Linked DNA regions of Diceros bicornis minor. Each later gene encodes a partner of the first gene's protein in a complex. Links are inferred from orthologs where the notes say so. Each region holds a gene or a part of one and is shown in the gene's direction. Other genes may lie near its edges. The genes, in order: MKI67 and NIFK.

Region 1 (10,047 bases):
TTTCCTACAGTATTAGAGTGGGGGGTTAGGACAGAGAGCTTTTTTAGTTTCAGAGTTCTAGGGGTCCCTATTCAATTCTTACCAACAAGTGTTCAAGATCAGCCTGTACATTCTTCAAGTTGCCCGATGCCCTGATTGATATGTGGACCCTCTCTGACCTTTGCTCCCAATGTCCCTGTCCTGCTCAATTTGGACTGTGTCCCCCAAGGGGAACCATCATGTCTGGAAACTGGACTGCTTGTCAGTGAGCCATGTTTGTAGAGCATATTTCCAAGCCTTGCTAGTTACTAACTTTTCAAGACATCACAGAACAAACTTCCTTGATAGGTAGACATATGTGAAGGACAATTTTTTTTTTAACTGGCAAAAGAGAAAGGAGTCTCAAGGAAAATTTCTTTTCCCTACCAAGAAATTTCCAATGTTTCAAAGGCAAATTTTAGTGACGACTCTAATGAGGGCTTTACCAAAGGTAGTAATATGCTTAGAATTGTGCGATCCTCTAATAACTACGTATAAATAATCATTGATCGTCTCTAAATATTTTGTTAAAGTAAAAAACAGTTACTATCGGATAAAAACTTCTCTGAACTAATTATTAAAGTTTTGATCATTATTGTTGAAATTCTGTTCTCAAGCAATTCAGATATCTCAACTTAAACTCACAGATCTTTCTCTTTATTTTGTAAGAACCAGATACTAAAAAACGGTTTGTGAAATCTCCTTTCCAGACGAATTTCAATAATGACACCCCCCTCAAGTTAAGGAAGGAGGGTCTATGAGATGCTCTCCAGGGGCACCCTTGGGCCCTGGGAGTCAAGAAGTATGAAGACCACAGAATGGAAAGTGTCAGATTGTTAGTTACTCAAACATTTGACAATGCAAAGAATGATTTTTATATTGGATTATCAATTACCGATCTAGTTTAACTACTCACACAGCATTTACGCCTGGAGGTAACAACGTTCTCCATTGCATTGTTTCCTTCTCTGTCAGTTGCCTGTGAAGCAACGATTTCATTCAGCATCTTTCGAGCATTTATATAAGCTGGCAGAGCCCCGTGCTGTCACTTGCCTGTAGATATGCCAGTGTCCCCCACTCGAAGTGAAGCCATTCCTGCACAGGGATCAAGGTGCACCTGATATCCTTTCTAACCTTATTTTATCTTTATTTTCCCATTTTACACTCAAGTGACCCTTCTCTGGGAGTTTCTCTGTGGGCTTTTCGGTCATCTTTGAAGACAGCTGTTTTTGGGCCCCCTGCCCCCACCATGAATGTCAGCCACACATAGAATTTTCTGGGAGAGCTGGAGAGCTTTACTCTTTATACACGTTTATTCAAGGAATCCCACAAGTGGCTTTAAATGTTCTTGGCTTTATGACTGACTTTTAAAATTCTACTAACTCTGCAGAACAAGGATTTATATATTTACCAAATAAATTGATGAAGAAAACTCTAAGACATTAACAGATAATTAGACAAATGGCACAAAAAGACTATTATCAAAAGATGAAAGTTTAAACAGGTAAGGAAAAGTGTTCAACCTTACTAGTAATTTTAAAATTCAAAATGAAACAATATTCCATTTATTCAAATTAGAAGAGAATTTAAAATGTGAATGCAAAAAGCTGGTAGTAAAAAAGGCATTCTCAAGCATTGAACTGGGTAGAAAAATTGTTACAACCCGTTTGAAAAGCAAGCAATTAGATGACATGAAGCAAATATTATTGAATCCAGCAAGTAGATTTTGGGAGATATAAACTAAGAACATAGCCTATTATATCAAAACAAAATTTTTGCTCAAAATGTTCATCACAGCATTATTAGTAATAATAAAATGTTAGGAAAAAACTTAAATGTTCAAACACAGGGAAATAGGGTTATCAAATTGGTATTCACCAAAAGTGAAGGAGAAAATGCTTACATTTTAATGCTAAATGAAAGCTTAGGAAATAAAATGGTGCATGTATATACATAGATGTGTAATGCTTCTAATGTAAAATAAAGATTATACAGAGAAAAATATGATGGTATTTCTTGCACGTCTTGAGGTAACTCTTTCTTCCTTTTACATTTGTATATTTTCCAAATATCCTATGACGAAAATATATAGTATTAGCTTCTCAAATTAAAAAATGCTTTTCAAAATTTCTTTCATGTTTTTCAATGCCGTATTTATTCCCAATTTCTTTTTCTAAACTCATAGAGTAGGAATCAATGTCCTGGTGCCCCTTTTCTCCAGGCTGTTCAGTCGAGTGTGGTGTGTTTGGGTGATGTAGAAGCCCCCCTTGGCTGGAGCGGCCTTCACCGGTCAGGGCACATCCAGGGGCACTCTTCTCCAGGTGGGGTCTTAAACTACCTGTTCTAGGGCTGATTCATCCAGTCTGCAAAGCTCACCTCCTCTCCTTGCCAGGGGAAGGGCTCCAGGTGGAGGGAGCGGCAGAGTCAACAGCCCTGAGGCTGGAAGGATCTGGGCCCTTTGAGGAAGGAAGAAGCTCAGGGGGCTGGAGCACAGGGAGAGAACTCAGATCAAGGAGGCCAAGGAGGCAGGAGACCCAAGGTCACATATGGTCCCATAGGGCCAGGCAGGAGTTTTGGTTCTATTCTGAGTCATTAGCAACCTCTGAAGGAAAAAACCAGGAAGTCACATGATCTGGGAGCAATTTGCAGCAGGTCTGTCTGTGGTGATCGCCCTACAGAGGGGCCTGGGTTGAGGTCGCAGAGGTCAGCAGGGTTCTATCACACCGTCTTCAGAGTTAAGACTTACGGAATGGGGAAGGGCCAACAGAATTTGAGGTGGGGGGAGGGGGAAGGGACTGGGAGGTCTGGGGGCACAGGACAGGGGATGGATGGACAGGGAGGGGCAACCCCACAGACCACCTGGTCAACTCCCCTATGGAAGTCTGGCGAAAGGGAATGGTTGAGAAGCAGTCCAGCTTCTGACCTGGGAGAGAAGCGATTGAGATCCTGCTCTCGGGGAGCCCCGAACTCGAAGCGACCAGGGCTTGGGACCCTGGGAAGCAAGTCCAGCTTTGGGGCTGGTGGTTGAAGCCAGGCAGGTGCCCTGGGGCCGGGTCAGCGCCTGGGCGTCGGGGCTGCAGCTCACAACGACGGGGCATCTAGGGGTCTCCAGGGTCTCAGCCATGCAGCTGACCTCCAGGAGGGAAGTGCATGCCGGATCCATTTCAAAAGGACCCCAGCCCCACCCCTGGGCCGCCTTTCCCATCCCCCACCCTCACTTTGTCTCTCCTGATTGGAAGGCTGGCAGGAGGAGGGGGGTGATTAAAAGACAGGGAGGGAAAGTGAAGTTGGGAGGCTAGGGGCCGGCTGAGTGGCGCCGAGACCCCTACCTGCAACCGTTGGAGGGTCCCAGGGCCAGGGCACCTGGCTGGAACTGGAGGCATCCCGGGAACTTAGAGCACCTGCCCCGTGCGTTTCCTGGGGTGCCGGGGTCCTAGACTGACCGGACGAGTAGGGGGCACAACCGGCCCTGGAGGGACGCCCGGACGCCCCCGCCCTGCGAGGTCCCTCCACGTCCCTGCCTTTCCACCACTGGCTGGACCCGGTGTCAGGGATTACAGAGTATAATACTTCCTGGAACACAGATGACCAAACAACATATACGTTTCAAATGTGATAAATATTTATTAGATATATACTCAGTTGTTTGAAAATACAGCCACGAATCAGGTAGATGGGCACGGAGTTTAAAGGAATTGTTGAGTGGTCCCTTATAGGGTGCCTGGGACACTTCCCCGTAGTAAATTTCAGGCAGGTGAGATTGCTAACTGGCAGCGGCGAGGGCAGGGAGAAGGAGCCCAGGGGCAGGGAATTCCGACGGAGACACTTTCTCTCGGCTGACTGATTTTAGGCATGAGTGCGTGGAGACTGTGAGGATCTGGAAATTGATTCTCTGGAAATGCCCTAGGTCCACACACTCCGTGGAAAGCCTTTTCCTGCCCATCCTGGGTCCTTGGTGCTCTAACTATAGGATCCCTATTCCACACCCTATTCAAGACTCTGACAGTGCTGAAGAGGAGCCCCAGGTCCAGACCCCAGCCCTGCAAATGGTGCAGGGATTCTGGTGACAGGAGGGAGATCTGTTTTAATGAAGCCCTGGGCTGTGGACCAAGCTTCAAATGCAACAGAAAACACCACTGCTAAAGTATATCATCAAACGGTTTAAAGAGGGCTGTCCCGCAGATCTAAGATCCACCACTTAGACAATTCCCTAAGTTTTCTCTATAGTTTCCCGTTTTCTCTTGAGAACTGAATATGTGTGTGGCACAATGTTTGTAAGATTATTTGCCAGGAAGTCTAGCACCTCCTAGTTCTAATTAGGCTGCCCCGACCAGGGTCACCGAACAGTCTCCGATAACAAGCGGTAATGAGAATGACAAAAGCAGCATTTTACCGGGTTGTTCAGAGATGAGCTTTCTTGGCTAGTGTAAAGGGGAAGGAAATGCAAGCTAATCCCCTAAAGAAGGTTAATAGTATCCATGCATTTAAATTATATCAGCCTCATCACAGACAACTAAGAGCTGGAAATCCTGCACATTCACGTTGCCAAATTCTAGATTTCCGTATTCCCGTAGGCAGTCTGTCTCCACGTTGTCACTCAGGAGCAGAAAGGCTCAAACTTTTTGGTGTCAGGGCCCCTTTAGGCTCTTAAAAATCATTGAGAACCACTAAGAATTTCTGCTAATGCAGATTATTAAGTGAATAATTTCAAAAACTTCATTTGTCAATTCATTTTAAAGCAATGATGAACCCATTTCAAGTTAACATAAAACATATTTTATGAAATATATCTATATTATCCAAAACAAAAAAAATAGTGAAAAGAGCAGCATTGTTTTCTATTTTTTGAAATCTCTGTAATACCTGATTTAGTAAAAGATAGCTGGATTCTCACATCTGCTTCTGCATTCAGGAAACTCCACCCTACATGCAAGAGAAAACGAGAGTGCAAAGGGCACAGAACGTCCGGCGTTATTACAAACATGCTTTGACTTCATGGACCCCTTGCAAGGATCTCAGACATCCTCAGGGGTCCCCAGGCCAAGCTGTGAGAACTATTGCTCCTGATCAAAGACAGCCGAGCTCCAAAGGGTGTGGGGAGAGCTGGAGGGAGGTGACCTGGAGGGCTGGCATTGCCAAGGCACGTTTTCGCTCTATTAACTTCACACCACGTTGGCCCACAGGAAACCCCCCACCCCCACCCCGCTCCTCCTCCCGCGGGGCAGGTGACTCCAGAGAGGAATCCTGTGGTTATTTCAGGATTGATCCAATTGGTAATGCACACGGTTTTTTAACTGGAGAATTTTTTTCGAATAGGAAAACATTGTAAACCTATATGTACAGCAATAGTAATGATTAAGTAAATTATATTTTCCTAAAGCATAATACTCTGCAGCCATCAAAAAGAAAGTAAAAAGGGAAGATGTACTCAATATCTTCAGGGTTTATTAAGCAGAAAACACAAAGTACAGAACAATGTGTATATTATGATCTTTTTAGTGTATTTTTGAAAGAGAATAATACATGTGTAACTGGGAAAACACACAAGAAATTGCTTATAATGATTGGTTATATTTGGGCAGATATAGAAACTTCAAAAAATTTTAAGCCTTCCAGCAATGAGTAACGTATTGTGTACTATTGTATTAGGTCCTTAAAGAAAAGGGGACGAGAGAGGTTTCGCGGCGCCTGGACCAGGTTCCCTTTCCGCCCTTTTTGCGTGTTGTCCCTGGAGAGAACCCCGAGAAGACGTCTGGGGTGCGCAGCCCGCCCGCCCCTCCCCGCGGAGCCTGCCGCTCCGTTCCCTCTTGCCCCGCCCCCGCCCCACTCTCGCTCCTTCCCATTGGTCTGCCGCCGCGCCGCCGCGTCCAATCGCAGCGCCTAGCGCCAAATTTGAATCGCTGTTTTCATTTGAATCGGGAGGGCGAGGCGGGCAGCTTTCCGCGCCCGAGCCGCTGACGCCGGGCGTCTCTGACACGTAGCTGGGCAGGGCCACCCGGTCACCGGCGAGGGTGACCGCGGGGGGAGCGCCGACTGCGGCCGCGGCGGAGGTGGGTGCGGGCCCGCGGACGGTGTCCCGGCCCTTGCAGCGCGGGGCGGGTGGTGGACGCAGGTGGACGCGTCCGGCTCCTCCCGGTGCGGACTTGGGTTGCGCCTTGACAAGCAGTGGACTCACTGGTGACAGTGTCGGTGACTCGTCCTAGGTGAGCTGCGGCCGGGGCGCCTCTGGGGGTGGGGGGAGCGAGGGGCGGCCTTTCGGGCCGGGGCAGCGGGGACTCCTCCGGGCACTGCGGGCACCGGCGCCGGGAGCGCGGCCTGGTCCCTGTCTCGATGGGAACTCCTGGGAGATGTGGCCCTGGTGGGCGGCCTCCTGGCCGCGGGTCTTGGGGGGGCGCTGGGTTCCGGTGGGCGGCCAGGGACCTGGCTGGGGCTCCCACAGGGGTCAGGTGAGGTGTGGGCCAGGGCGGCAGAGGCATGGGGAATCGTACAAGCGACTCCAATCGGTCACTTACAAGTGACTTCTTAGCTCTTTGCTTTCAGGGTAATCTCCCCCCCCCCCGCGTGTTTTATTATTGTTTTACTCAGTGGCATGTTCCTGCAGTGCAAGAGCGGCTTGTAAATTTGCTTCAGCGAACCTTTTGATGCCTGACATTCCCATACGGATTATACTCCAAATCTTGTTTAGAAAATGGGTCCTACAGGACGCCTTGTTACCATCAAAAGGAGCGGGGTCGACGGCCCCCACTTCCCGTTGAGCCTCAGCACATGCTTGTTTGGAAGGTGAGCCCTGTGCACGCGTGGACAATTCGGCTAAAAAGACTTGAATATCTTCATCACAGATTAACAGGCTGGAAACATGGCTCTAGGAGTAGTTCCTGCCCTCAGGTTTACTCAGGACTTACTATGTGTTGTCAACTGGACTGAATTGTTGATTACACAATAGAATTTGGGGAATAATATTTATACAGTTGTGTTTTTCTAATCAAACAAAAATTTTAATATTGATTTGATAAAGATCTTTAAACGGAGAAAAATGTAGATGATTCTCAAATCCTGATTCTCTTCAGGCAGTCTTTAGAAGACCATTGTGTTCATCTGAAATCCCTCCAAACTTGGCATTCCTTGGCTACTGGGGGACACTGTTGAGCAAAGGAAGGAAGGAGGCTCTGTTTACGGTTTGTGGTATTTTCGGAAAAATGAAAATGGGAGGAAAGCCCTCCTGCTAGTGTTTGGAGAACTCCTCTTTTGTTACCTTCTGGTGTTGGTCTCGATAGCTGTGGTCCCTGAATAGCAGGAAACATTATTAATCGCACTCTCTTTCATTCTCTTTCACTCGAATTCTAACAAATGATAGGTCACCCTCCCTGTGGAGTCCTGTGTGTTAGGACCCGCACCCCCTTCTACACACCCTGTCCTACCAGCTCCCTCCCTACCATGTTCCACCCCACCTCAGAAATTCCAAGCTCTGGCTCCCCTTGTGCTTTTAGCCATTTTGAACTATATAACTGGGATGTTCCCTCTACCCTCCTGTGTGAGTGATTCCTTTCCAACTTTCAGATATTGTTTTAAATGTTACCTGAAAAGAAGCCTTTAAAGAACACTGCTCTTGTCTTTCCCAACACCACACATGGTGATGAGTCTTTGGTTTGTCTGTCCCACTGCTAAGCTTTCCAGGGACAGGGATATCTAGTTAGTAGTTATGTGCTTGGTGCCTGGTATGGGGTCTGGCAAATGAGAGAGGATTGATATTTAGCACTCTGGTAAGTGTTCACTAGAAACATGGGCTGGATTTGGAAGCATATGCAGCAGTGGTTCTCAGCATAGGGCCACTTTGCCCCCCAGGAGACTTTTGGCAAAATCTGGAGACATGTTTCTATGTCACAGTGTGGCAGAGACGAGGCTCATGCCACTGGCATCAGTGAGCCGAGGTCAGGGATGCAGCCAAACGTCCTACAAGGTACGGGACAGCCCCCACTTTAAAGAACTATCTGGCCTAAAATATCACCAGTGCTGAGGTTAAGAACCACTGATCTAGAGTGATTCTAGTTGGCGGTTTCCTGCCAAACAAATGCTAAGTTCTGAGACAGTCTCTCTTTCTCTCTTGCTGGAATGTTCTGACACCTAAAAATCAAATTCTCTTCTTTGGTTTAAAATAGCTGTTCACTTTCCCTAGCTTCTTTTCTCTTCAAAGGTAAAAATAAACATTTTGGTATCAAATGGCAGTAATTCTGGTTATTATACAGCAGTGATTAAATGTATGTTTATGCAAGATTTTGTAATTTAGAAACCTGTTCATAAGTGTTTGGTCATATGACATGGGTAGGAAATGGTATTCTTAGACTCCGTAGGTGCATGTTGAGAACAGAGAGGCGAGTATACACTTGTTCAAACTTACGGTAACAGGGACACCAGAGACCCAAGGAACCTCACTAAGGACCTCTGGTTAGTTTCCACGTGGGTCTGGGAAATCTCCCGTCTGGTTCATCCTGCTGATGTTCTTTGTGGAAAGACAAGTTGATCTAATAATGCTTTTTTGTTGCACGCGGATTAGTATTTTTAATGATAGGAGACTTGTGAATCTGTCTGTTAATATGGTGTAGTTTTAAAACAACAATAAAAAGCTCAAAAGTAATGAGCTTTGACTGTGTGCCAGGCGAGTGACAGACGTGTAACTCATTTTTTGAACAACACTATGACATGGCTGCTAATGTGATTCTCTTTTTGTATATGAGGAAACTGAGGCACAGAGAGGTGCCAGCGTGAAATACTGCACTTCTGGTGATGATTAAACCTTTAAACATACGGAACATTACAAATAGACATACATAAACCGTTTTTTGCAGAATAAAAACAGAATATTAAAAATAATTATTCTCCAAGCTGATATAAATTACTCCTTTATTTGGGTCTTATAGCCATAGATATTTTAGTTAAAAGGCAATTCAATTTTGTATTCTAATATTTTCTATTATAATTATTTTTAAGCCCTCTATGTTTTAAGATTTAAAATAATTGCTTATATAATACTTGTAAAAATCGTTTGTAAGATGCAAAGATTGTTTACATTGATGAATTTGTTCCTCCTTTATGTCATTACATTTACAGATCAAACACATAGTCAAATGCTGTTTTATTTTGAAACATTGATTTAATGTTTTTAAAAATTGCCAACCTAAAAAATCTTAATTCTTTTCAATAAAGGGGCATCGAATGTGACATCCGTATTCAGCTTCCTGTAGTGTCAAAACAGCACTGCAAAATTGAAATCAATGAGCAAGCAGTAAGTGGGATTTAGAAGTCTATTTTTTAAAACTTTTCATTTCAGTTTTTACCTACATATTAGTTACGTTTTCCTCCTTTTTCCTACTTGTAGGCAATATTGTTTAATTTCAGTTCCACAAGTCCTACACAAGTAAATGGATCTGCTATTGATGAACCCATACGACTAAAACATGGCGATGTGATAACCATTGTTGATCGATCTTTCAGGTAGGTAAAAACTAATTGGGCTGAAAATAAATGGATCTTTTGAGTCACCAAAAACTAGCCTCACACATCATCTGTGCTCCTTCTTTAACCCCGGTGAATGTCAGTGTTTGAGGTTGTCATTATCAACAGTAATTCTTAATCTAAAATCAAATGGATCTAGAAGGAAAGACAAATGGGGCTTATGTGATTCAATTCAAGGATTTGAGTGCACGTACTTGTGCAAAAGAGGAGTGACCAGATCCTTAAGGAGTTTTATTTTGTTGTGAAACTGCATATGTTTTTTAGTTTCTTTTTTATTTCGAAATAAATTATGCTCATGGAGAAAAATGCAAAATGAGATGTATAGCTAATTTATCATGAGTTGAACACCCTTGTGATCACCTGTTATGGACTGAATTGTGCTCTCCCAAAGTTCTTATGTTGAGTTCCTAACCCCCAGTACCCCACAATGTGACTGTATTTGGAGACAGGGCCTTTAAAGAGGTGACTAAGTTAAAATGAGCGCGTTAGGCTGGGCCCTAATCTGATATGACTGATGTC
Region 2 (10,364 bases), on another chromosome or scaffold:
GCAGAATCACCCCTCCCCCACCCCACTGAGAACCTTTCTCAATACCTGGCAGCCACTCAATAGATATGTGGTAAATGAATCAACTTTGCCAAGTTGCCCTCCAGTACAGTTGTAACAGTTTACACGCTGTTTTAATGTGTAAACGTCTTTTAAGCACTAACAATCTGATCAGGGAGTAAGGGAACCTCATTTAACTTTTCAATTTATATTTGAAAGATTTTTCTTATGTATATTGAAATTCCTTTTGGGAATTCTCTATGTTTTTTATACATCTTTCTATTAAAGTTTTCATCTTTCTCTTATCCATTTCTAATAAACTTTGTCACTTAAAAATTAACATTTTCTCACTTTTTTACAATTTTTAAAATAATTTTTGAAATGCAGACATTGTTAATGTGATTTTATTTGTCAAAAGGACATGCCATGTTTATTAACCCAGTTAGTCCCTTATCATAGGCTATTTTGGTTGGTTCCAATTCTTTCTATTATAAATAACATTGTGATGAAATTCTTTGTAAGCCCTTATCAGGATGTAAGATCATTTCTTTTGATAGGTCCTATTTTTAAAGTTCTTGACATATTTTGCCAAATCACTATGCAGACAGGTTGAACTAATTTCTACTCTCCTGCCCACCAGGGCCTGAAGGAGCCAACTTGACTGCACTCTCCCCAATGTGAATGTTAACACTGCAGACATTCTGGGCTAATTTAAGGGTGAAATTATACCTCATTTAATAGCATGGAAGACTATGTAATGAGTGGTGCACTTCTGCAAGGTTCCTTGGAGGGCAAGAGCGGGTGGAAACAGAATACTGCTTGGGAGTTGTATCCTGCAGTCTGAGAACAGGAGAAGGGGGTTAGGGAGTCAGAGGAAAGAGGGAGATAGGCCTCGGGCTGTGCCTCATTTGTACCCATGGGGTTTTAATTTATAGAGGTGACTGAGTGACAACCAGAGAGGCCAGTGCCATTGAAAGAAGAACTTATTACTTACATTTCTCAAGAGGACAGGGCATGCCATGCCATGCAGGGCCACAGGGGGGAAGCACCAGGTCTGGTCAGGAGGCAGAAGCAGGAGTGAAGGACAGCCTAAGTCAGAGCCTTTATTGGGTTTCTGAGGGAAAGGCAAGGCAGGGTAGGGTCATAGCTTAGGATTGGCCAGTTTGAGTAATTCTGGTGGGCTCTAGGCTGGGAATATTGGCTGGTGTGCGAGTCAGATAAGGAGGGGGCATATGAAAGGGGTGCTCCAGGGTGATCCCTTTGATGTCTCTCAGAATTGGCTAGCCCTGGGAGGGACAGTCTCTCCCCAGCCAGCAAGCTTTTTAAGGTGTCAAAACATCAAAAATACAGAGAATAAAAAACATGATTAATACAGGCTAGGAAGAGGGCACCACGATGCTACTGCAGGCCCCACGGGACCCAGGATGCCAGGACCCAACCCTGTACTGAAGGGCAGGAAAGGATCCAGGGGTGGAGGAAGTGGTTTGTGAGTCAGCACAGGGGTCTTCAGAGGGAATCGGGACCTCTGGGCACCCCTCATTCTCCACTCTCCCCAGCCCCCCTCCCCAGGGCTCCACCCAGCTTCACTCAGGTCACACTTGGGGTCTGGACTTGGGGCTGTGCATGATGTTAACCTGGCACAGAGCAGGATGTAGGCAAAGGTGACAGTCATTCACAAGGACAAAGGAAGAAAATCTTTCTCGTGGCTTCAGGACACACGGCCCTGAATGGTCTGCAGACTGAATTTTAGTTTGTCAGGTGACATTTTATTGAGGCTGCACTGAGTTTCTCCCCACTTCTTCCCCTGGAATTGCCCGTTTCAGGCCCATCTCCAAAATCTGAGCAAGGGGCAGCTGGGCAGGGCCGAGCAGGCTGACTCTGATGGCTGGGCCCACTATCCAGGGTGGCACGTTGGATGACCACACAGGGACCAGGCAGAGAGGAAAACACGGGAGGGGGAAGGTGGGCCGGGCCCACGTGTGTCCCTTCTCCTGCCAGCCCTCAGCCCCACCCCACAGAGCCCTCCCTCCTAAGGCCCAGCCCCCTGGACACAGCACACCCTGCCTCACCCTGCTGCTTGCCCAGCTCTGCTGCCCGCCCCACCTCATATCCCAGCCACCAGCCCTCACCATGCTGGGCCCCCAGCAGGTGTTCCAGCCCATAGGCGGTGATGGTGGCATCACAGGAAAGACACGTGACCATTCCATCCCAGCAGAGGGGTGGCATAGGAGGTCAGTGGGGGAAAAGGAAGGGAAAGTCCTGCAGTAAGCACATTTAATAGTCCACTCAGGGGTGTGTGGCAGTGCCTGGAGCCATTCTGGTTGTTACAATGACTGGGGTGCCACTGGCATTGAGTGCCAGGGGACAGGGTACCAGGGTGGTATGTATGGGACAGTCCAGCTCAGTGAAGAACAGTCCCTCCCAAGGTGTCAGTAGCCTCCCCACCTCCATGCAAAAAGAGAAAGGGGGGGGGGAGGGAGGGAAGAAGAGAAGGAAGGGAGGGAAGAAGGAAGAAGGAGGAAGAGAAAAGATAAGGAAGGACAAACACACACAGCCCCAGCCTGTCACCTGGCATGAAGAAGGCAAGCTGCCAGTCTGAGCATTAGTAGTGTTGCTGCTGCCACTAAGGAGTGAAGACTCCCCCAGGGAGACCTTAACAACCGTCCCAGCCAAACCCTTCTTCACGGATGAGGAGACTGAGGCCCTCCTGGAGAGAGGGCCATCTCCCCCAGGCACATCCCAGGGCGGTAACGGGTTTCTGGGCTCTCTGACCAGGATACCACATCAACTCCTGTGATCACCTACCTAGGTCCCAGAGTGACCCTTGGGCCCTGGGTGGCAGAATGAGATGTTACCCAGCAGGGCCACAGCGAACGTCAGTGGAAATCACTGTTAACTGAGAGTGACTGGCCAAGGCTCAAAGGGGAAATGAAAGCAGGTCCGGTCTGGGCTGCGGTGAGGATTCGGGGCCTGAGACTCCGTCCCCAGTTAAGGGCTGACTTCTATGGTCTGGTGAAGGGCCAAGGAGAGGGTGGCCCGGCATCCTTCTGGGAACATCCAGGAGCTCCTCTGGCACCTGGCCTTCATGGGTAGCTCCCAACAGCCAAGACAGGCCCAGGACCAGTGTCTGCCTCAGAAAACCCCTTCAGGCGGCACCCACCATGGTGCTGTATTCATTTCCTAGGGCTGCCATTACAAATCACCAAAACTGGGGGGCTTAAAACAACAGAAACTTATTCTCACAGTTCTGGAGACTAGAAATCCAAACCCAAGATGTTGGCAGGACGATTTTCTCTCCAAAGGCTCTAGGGAAGAATCCTTCTCTACCTCTTCCCAGCTTCCAATGGTTGTCAGCAATCCTTGGCGTTTCTTAGCTTGCAACTGCCTCTCTCCCATCTCTGCCTTCATCATCACTGTGGTGTTCTCCGTGTGTGTGTGTCTGTGTGTGTGTGTGTGTATCCAAATTTCCTTGTTTTTATAAGGACACTAGTTATTGGATTAGGGCCCACCCTACTCCAGCATGACCTCGCCTTAACTTGATTACATCTGCAAAGACCCTATTTCCATCACATATACCGGGATTAAGACTTGAACATCTCTTTTGGGGGAACACAATTCAACCCAGCACAGTGATCAATTGCCCGAATCCCTCCTACTACTACTCCAAGTTTGGTCCACGGAGCATCAGCCTCACCGGGGAGCTTGTTAGAAACACAGAACCTGGGGCCCCACCCCAGAGCTAGGAATCAGAACTGGCCATGTAACAAGACCCCCAGGAAATCTACATGCTCATTGTTTTGTTTTCTTTTGTTTTGCTGAGGAAGATTCACCCTGAGCTAACATCTGTTGCCAATCTTCCTCTTTTTGTATGTGAGCCAACACCACAGCAAGGCCCTTGACAGACGAGTGGTGTAGGTCTGCGCCTGGGAACCAAACCTGGGCTGCCGAAGCACAGCACACAAAACTTAACCTCTAGGCCACTGCGGCTGGCCTCTCATTCAGTTTTGAGAAACCTTGGGTCACCACCCACCTGGGGGATGTAACGGGAGGCCAGGAATTCATGGAGGTGGTTGCAAAAACTGGAAAGAGGATCTCCCAGAAGAGAACTGTCACTTTGCTGTCTTCCCTTCTCTGCTCCTCCCTACCTCTCTCTTCCCCTTAGAAGCTATGAGATATGTCAAGTTTCATCCTTGGGAAAGAGGGGAGTGTTCACACACACACACTCAAGGGAGGGGCCTTTAGGGAACCAACAGCTTGTTCTGTGTCCTCTGGAATTTGGGGGATACAGGCACCCATAAGTGACTCATAAATCAAACATCTAACTTTGACCAGCCAGGAGGCCCACCCTACAGCAATGCAAAGAGGAAAAAGCATCTCCTACAACAGAGAGGACAAAAGATGTGGCCCTTACTAAAGGATCAGGATGGGGTCAGCTTAGAAAGGCCCTTCCAATAGGAGCACCTGGACACACAGCTGACCTAAGCAGGCAGGTGGTACCACAGGCAGGCAGGCTAAGCCATGAGCAGCCAGGCGAGGGAACACCTCAAAAGTATGCCTGGAAAGAGTGAGTCAGCAACCAAGGATGCGCCCCACCTGAAGCTCCCCAACCACATGGCACCTGCCAGTCAAGGAGCCCCTTCCTGCCGCTTCCTTGCGCTCTCCCCATCTCAATCATGGAGAAGCCAAAAAAGAAACTGGGGTGCAGGGGACAAGGTGAAGCCAGAGAGACAATGTCAACTGTGACTCCTTGAGAGATTTCTCACCTGAGACAGGTCCGAGTGTGGGGAGAGGAGACACTTGCTGTCAGATTTTGAACACCCTGAAAACATTTCTATACACTGATATCTGAGGAGCTCTCCCCAAGATTTCGTCCAGGGGGGAGAAGGAACAAGTCCATGAAAAGAAGCAGTCCTGAGAAAGAATAAAATTGCTCTCTGCTTGCACTCTCCTGAAAATCCAGCTTGTTCATGAAAACGCCATTGTAAGAGAGTATTTAATAGGAGGAGGTGACCTCGGCAACAGGGTCGCAGAGGGCTTCCCTGACAGGTGACAGTTGAGCTGAGCTGGGGTGTGACTGGGGTGAGGGACGCAAAGGCAGGCAAGTGGCTCCCAGAGGAAGCACGCTGGCCCTCACTGTACAATCGCTCCCACGCCACTCTACCCTACAGTTACCATCCACTCTTCCCACAGGTACCCCTGGGCACCAGCCAAACTCAGCCCTCATTGGTTCCAGAACACCTGCCACCACCATCCCCCAGAGCAGCTCTGCTTTGACTATTGCTCTAGCCTCGTCCCCACCCCACCCCACGCCACCCCCGCTTCCTCTGCTATCCACCTTCCACCCTTACTAGAGTAGTAGTTGAAAGGTACAGCCACAGCCTTGCTTAAAACCCTCACACCCCCTGCATTTACAATAAAACCCAAGCTTTAAACCTTGACACAGAGCCCTGGAGCTCCAGCCTGCCCCCTTGCCCCTCTCCCTCACACGCTGAGCTCCAACCACAGTGGCCGACTCCTTCTTTCCAGCCGTAAGGACACTGTACACGCTGTCCCTCTTGCCTGCACGGTGGGCTTCCAGGTCTGCACAGGCTGCTCCTTCCAGCCTTCAGGTCTCAGTTCAAATGCCACCTCCTCCAGGAGGCCCTCATTGGTCACCAGTGTGCTTCCCCCCTCCACGGGGCTCTTATGTCTCCCATTACACCAATCCCACCCTCAAACGTCCTTTATCCACCCACTCCCCATCCCCCCCCACCCACCCAATCTGTATGTTACCTAAGGGCAGCAGCAGCAGGACACACAGTAGGCTCAGAAACGAGCGAGTGAAAAAAGGAAATAAAAAAGAATTAAAGAATGGTTAGCAAGACCTCAAAAGCACGGATATTGTTTGGGATTTATTTTTAAACCCCCTTTGAAATTGGCTGGCCGCAAAGCAAGCGTGAACAAACTACCGTCTGCCATTTTAGGCAGGCGGTCAGCGCGAGAGCGAGGCCAAAGGGCACCCGGCCCGCAGGGGGCGCCCGAACTCGCCCAGCCCCGCCCCCGCGCCCCGCGCGTCGCCGCGCACGTCCCGCCTCACTTCCGCTTCGGAGGAACTCAGGGCTCGGCATTTCCGGACGCGCCGCGTGGAGCTGGTCGTCTTGGGGACTTGCAGCATGGCGGTCTTTGCGGGCCCCGCCAAGACTCTCCTGTCCCTGAACCCACAGGAGGACGCCAAGTTTCAGAAGGAGGTGGCGCAGGTTCGCCGGCGCGCCACCCAGGTGAGCGGCCGCCACGGCCGGGCTGCGAGGGGAGGCGGCGGGCCGGGTCTGGGCCGCGGGGACGCGCGGGCCCGGTGCCGCGCCCTGCTGCCCCCGGGATGGCCTCGGGTGAGCGCCGACCTCGCGAGTTTGTAGGCCGAGCCCCCGAGACGGAGTGTGCGCTGACTGGGAAATGGGGGTGGGCTGTGGCCGCGGAGGTCTTAGAGTCCTCCCGTGGACTAAGGGTGAGGTGTGGGGGGACGAGAGGAGCAGGAGCCAGCTGGGACGGGCCCTCTCGGTCCACGGATTAGAGCTCCCACGCGTCCGCCTGGCCCCCGAATTCAGAGAGTTCATATGTCTGGTTGGTAGTTTGGAGACAGTATTTGCCAAGTTCCGTTTGCTGATTAGGGCCCCTGACGTCAAGTTATAGTTGTCTTGATTTTTAGCAGGAAATACACGTTTGAAAACTTAAAAGTTGTAATAGAAGGCAAGGACATGATGACAGACGCTGAAAAGTTCGTTGGCGTTGTGAAGGGTTACGGAAGTTTCGAAATTGTTTGGTTAGGTGGGTGCGAGTCAACAGCGATCCGCATACAGAGGTGAAGGGTACTTTTATGTGGAGTTCTCCGGCCTGAAGATTTAAAATAGTGTGTTCAAAGACTTGTTGATTCAACGTATAGTTATCGAGCATGAACATTGTGCGGCGTGCTGGGACACAGGCTGAGAAGACAATCCGCTGTGATGATTGTCCTCGTGGGGAGATGGACATTAAACAGCTAACTCTTTAGTTACTGTTCTGCTAAGTGGAAATAGTGGCTAGGCTCTTGGTCTCCTCTTGAGAGTTAGGGAGGTTTGCAAGTTTTGTTGCAATGTGATTTTTTTTAATTGAAAAAGTAATTATCTGTTTTTTATGTTTTCAGCGACAGGAGAAAAAAAAACTCACTCCTGGAGTAATCTATGTGGGCCACCTACCTCCAGCGCTTTACGAAACCCAGATCCGAGCATATTTCTCGCAGTTTGGCACTGTTACAAGACTTAGACTGTCCAGAAGTAAAAGGGTAAGATTTTTGTGTTGAATTTAGATTGTCTGTTTGTTTCTTTAAAAGGATGTCATCCTTGATAGTTGAGAGCATGTCCACATATTATTGTTTATCAGACTTTGCTCCAGAAAAGGGAGGTGGATGAGGTTTAGAACCTGAAACAACCACAAAAGCAAAATCAGTATTATTGTAAATGTTTACTTTATTTAAAAAAAAACGTGGGGGCTGGCCCCATGGCCTAGTGGTTAAGTTCAGCATGCTCTGCTTCAGTGGCTTGGGTTTTCGGGTTTGGATCGCAGGCACGGACCTACACCATTTGTCAGCCATGCAGTGGCCGCGACCCACATACAACATAGAGGAAGATTGGCACAGATGTGAGCTCAGGGCCAATCTTCCTCGAGAAAAAAAAGTGATTGCCCCAAATCCTCAAATTAAATTGACAATCCTAGTAAATAAATCATATTTATTTTATGGCTACTGAGCCAGGTGTACATGAACTTCAGTTTGAGGAGCGGTTCATACATCATCTTGTATTACCCTTTGGTGTAGGCACCCCGTAATAGCAAAAGTTTGTATAGTGAATAGTTAAGGATGAGGACACTGGAGCCAGACTACCTAGGTTTGAGGCCTGACTCTACAGGTTACTAGTTGTACGACCTTGGACAAATTATGTAACCTCTGCATGCATCGGTTTTCTGATTTGTAAAATATGAGTAAAAGAGCACCAACCTCCTAGGAGTATCTAGTGAAAGATTAAACACGGGGTAATGAATGTAAGGTTCTTAGAGCAATGCCTGATAACACACAGTAAACACTGTATAAATGTTATTGTTATATTATCTCTATCTCCTGATAAAAAATGGTTTATGTGGTTTGTATCAGTAAAGGAGGAGTGGCCCACTTTATTTTCTTCCTGCACACATAAACTTTAATTGGTTGTAACCATAGACCTCTCATTGTTGGAATCTCTGGGGGTTTTTTGTTTTTTTGTTTTTGTGAGGAAGATCAGCCCTAAGCTAACATCCGTGCCTATTTTCCTCCACTTTATGTGGGACGCCACCACAGCATGGCCTGACAAGCGGTGCGGAGGTGCACACCCGGCATCCAAACCTGGGCCGCCAGCAGCAGAGCGCGCATTTAACCTCTACGCCACGGGGCCGGCCCCTCTCTGGGGGTTTTTTGATACAGTTTTTCCGCATTTTCCTGCCTGAGTTATAACAAATCAAAGTTAAATTTTATATTTGATTTGGCATGTGAGGGGATAGGGTATGTGTCCATCATCTGCTAGTTGTTATAAAACCACAGGTATTAAATGTTGTCAAAGCAACACGTCAGCATTAAAGGGAATTTTAAATTTAAAGTGCCCTAGTATTTCTTCCATCCTAACGAAAATAACATATTTTCTTTGTATTCCTTCCCTTTTATTCCATTTGCTTATTTGTAGTGGTTTCTTATTAGGTGGGTGAGATATTTCAAACCTCCTGAAGTCTGCTAGAGAGTGATTTAGTGACTGTTCAGGTATCTGCCGTTCACCTTTATCAGATGTCAGCTTCATCTCAAACTTGCTCCAGATCTTTGTTCTTTAAGAAATGGATTATAGGTGAACTTGAGGTCCCTTTGTACCCTTCCCCAGTCCTCTGCACCTTCTCCCCATGCCCAGGGAATTAGTATTCATGAATTCAGTGTTTTTCATTGCTGTGTGTGTTTTTCAATTTTTACTACATACTCATGTATCAATATACATTGTACATTATTGTTTTAAATCTATATTAGTTATATATTTTATTCTGAAACTTAATTTTTTCATTCAACTGTCTGCTCTGAGCTTTATTGATACAGCTCTAGCACATTCATTGTCATTGCTGTGTCCTTTGCTTGAACATACTAAAGTTCATTTATCTGTCTTCTATTGAACATGAGGGTTTTGTGTTTTTTTTTTTTACAGTTTTTCACTGTTATACGTGAAGCCACTAAGAACATTCTTTGTGCAGGTGTAGGCAAGTTTCTCTAGAATAATATTTTTCAGACTTTTGACCCACAAGAAGAAGTAAGGTACACCACAAGCCAGCACACATATACGTGTATGTAAACATAAGTGAAATAAAAGTCATACGAGATAATACTTAACCTTTCTATTCGGTTTTTTAGAAATACCTTTCTGACCTACTAAATTGATTTTGTTTTCCTCTAAAAGGTCAGACTCTCAGTTTGAAAGATACTGCTCTACAGCTTATCCTCAGAATCACTGAGTATAAAATGGTCATGGTTTTTTTATCTGCCTTATTAGTGAGGTTAGTATCATTAGGTGTTTATTGGCCGTTGGAGTTCTCTCTTCTGTGAATTGCCTATTCATGTCTTTTGCCGTTTCTTATTATTGTCTTTTTCAAAAACTCTTTTCCTGCCTTTTGTGGGACGTTATTTTATAAATGTTTTCCCATATTGCAGTGTAGTCATTGTTCCCCCGCCTCAGCTTTGTATTTTGAAAATGTTCAATGTTGAAGTCTACAGAGAGATAGAAAGAATAGTATAATGAACATCCCTACCCCTCGCCTGGATTCACGCATTATCGACATCCTGACAAGTAGCTTCATCTTTCTCCATATCTATAAAAACATACACACTTTTTGAGCCTTTTGAAGAAAGTTGCAGTCATAATACTTTCTAAATGCTTCATCATAAATCTACCCAGAATAAGGACATTCTCTTCATAACCACAATGTAATAATCTATACAGTGTACTGTCCACCTTTACATATCCCTAATAGTTCCAGAAAAGTCTTTAGCTATTTTTTTCCCTCCCTATTCTGGAATCTGGTCGAAGTTTGTGCATTTATTTGGTTGTTAGAGCTCTTCAGCTTATCTGGGAACAGTTTCCTTGTCTGCTTGTTTTGTTTTCCTTGACATTGGCTTTTTTGGAGAGTTTGGTCCAGTTGTCTTGTAGAAAGCCTGTTCCTTGAGGAGATGCACTAAAATTTTACCATTTGCACCAGTGTTACATAGGAAAGCTGCTACCTTTCTGTTCACCCCAATTTTGACTATTTGGTGTTTCCAGCATCTTTCTGAAATTACTAGATGAAGGTTTTTTTGAGTT

The links.
Region 2: the proteins of MKI67 (region 1) and NIFK are in contact, whole or in part, in an NMR structure (PDB 2AFF), measured with the Homo sapiens proteins. The link is inferred for Diceros bicornis minor from reciprocal best matches to the Homo sapiens genes MKI67 and NIFK. Residues at the interface, in NP_002408.3 of Homo sapiens: Thr9, Ile10, Lys11, Arg12, Ser13, Pro18, His19, Phe20, Pro21, Ser23, Leu24, Arg31, Gly32, Ile33, Glu34, Cys35, Asp36, Ile37, Arg38, Ile39, Gln40, Leu41, Pro42, Val43, Val44, Ser45, Lys46, Thr66, Asn67, Ile91; in NP_115766.3 of Homo sapiens: Val228, Asp229, Ser230, Gln231, Gly232, Pro233, Thr234, Pro235, Val236, Cys237, Phe241, Leu242, Arg245, Gln248, Val249, Leu252, Asp256, Lys257, Asp259, Glu260, Ile261, Val262, Phe263, Lys264, Gln265, Pro266, Ile267.

What each region holds. Positions count from the first base shown.
Region 1 is NC_080745.1:90,449,598-90,459,644, reverse strand, and holds the start of MKI67 (proliferation marker protein Ki-67), read left to right. Parts: upstream 1-6,075; 5' UTR 6,076-6,221; intron 6,222-6,603; exon of another isoform or gene 6,604-6,619; 5' UTR 6,620-6,706; coding exon 6,707-6,798; intron 6,799-9,219; coding exon 9,220-9,298; intron 9,299-9,391; coding exon 9,392-9,507; intron 9,508-10,047. UniProt on the Homo sapiens protein: Protein that associates with the surface of mitotic chromosomes and acts both as a chromosome repellent during early mitosis and chromosome attractant during late mitosis.
Region 2 is NC_080749.1:11,040,958-11,051,321, forward strand, and holds the start of NIFK (MKI67 FHA domain-interacting nucleolar phosphoprotein), read left to right. Parts: upstream 1-6,105; 5' UTR 6,106-6,149; coding exon 6,150-6,254; intron 6,255-7,153; coding exon 7,154-7,291; intron 7,292-10,364.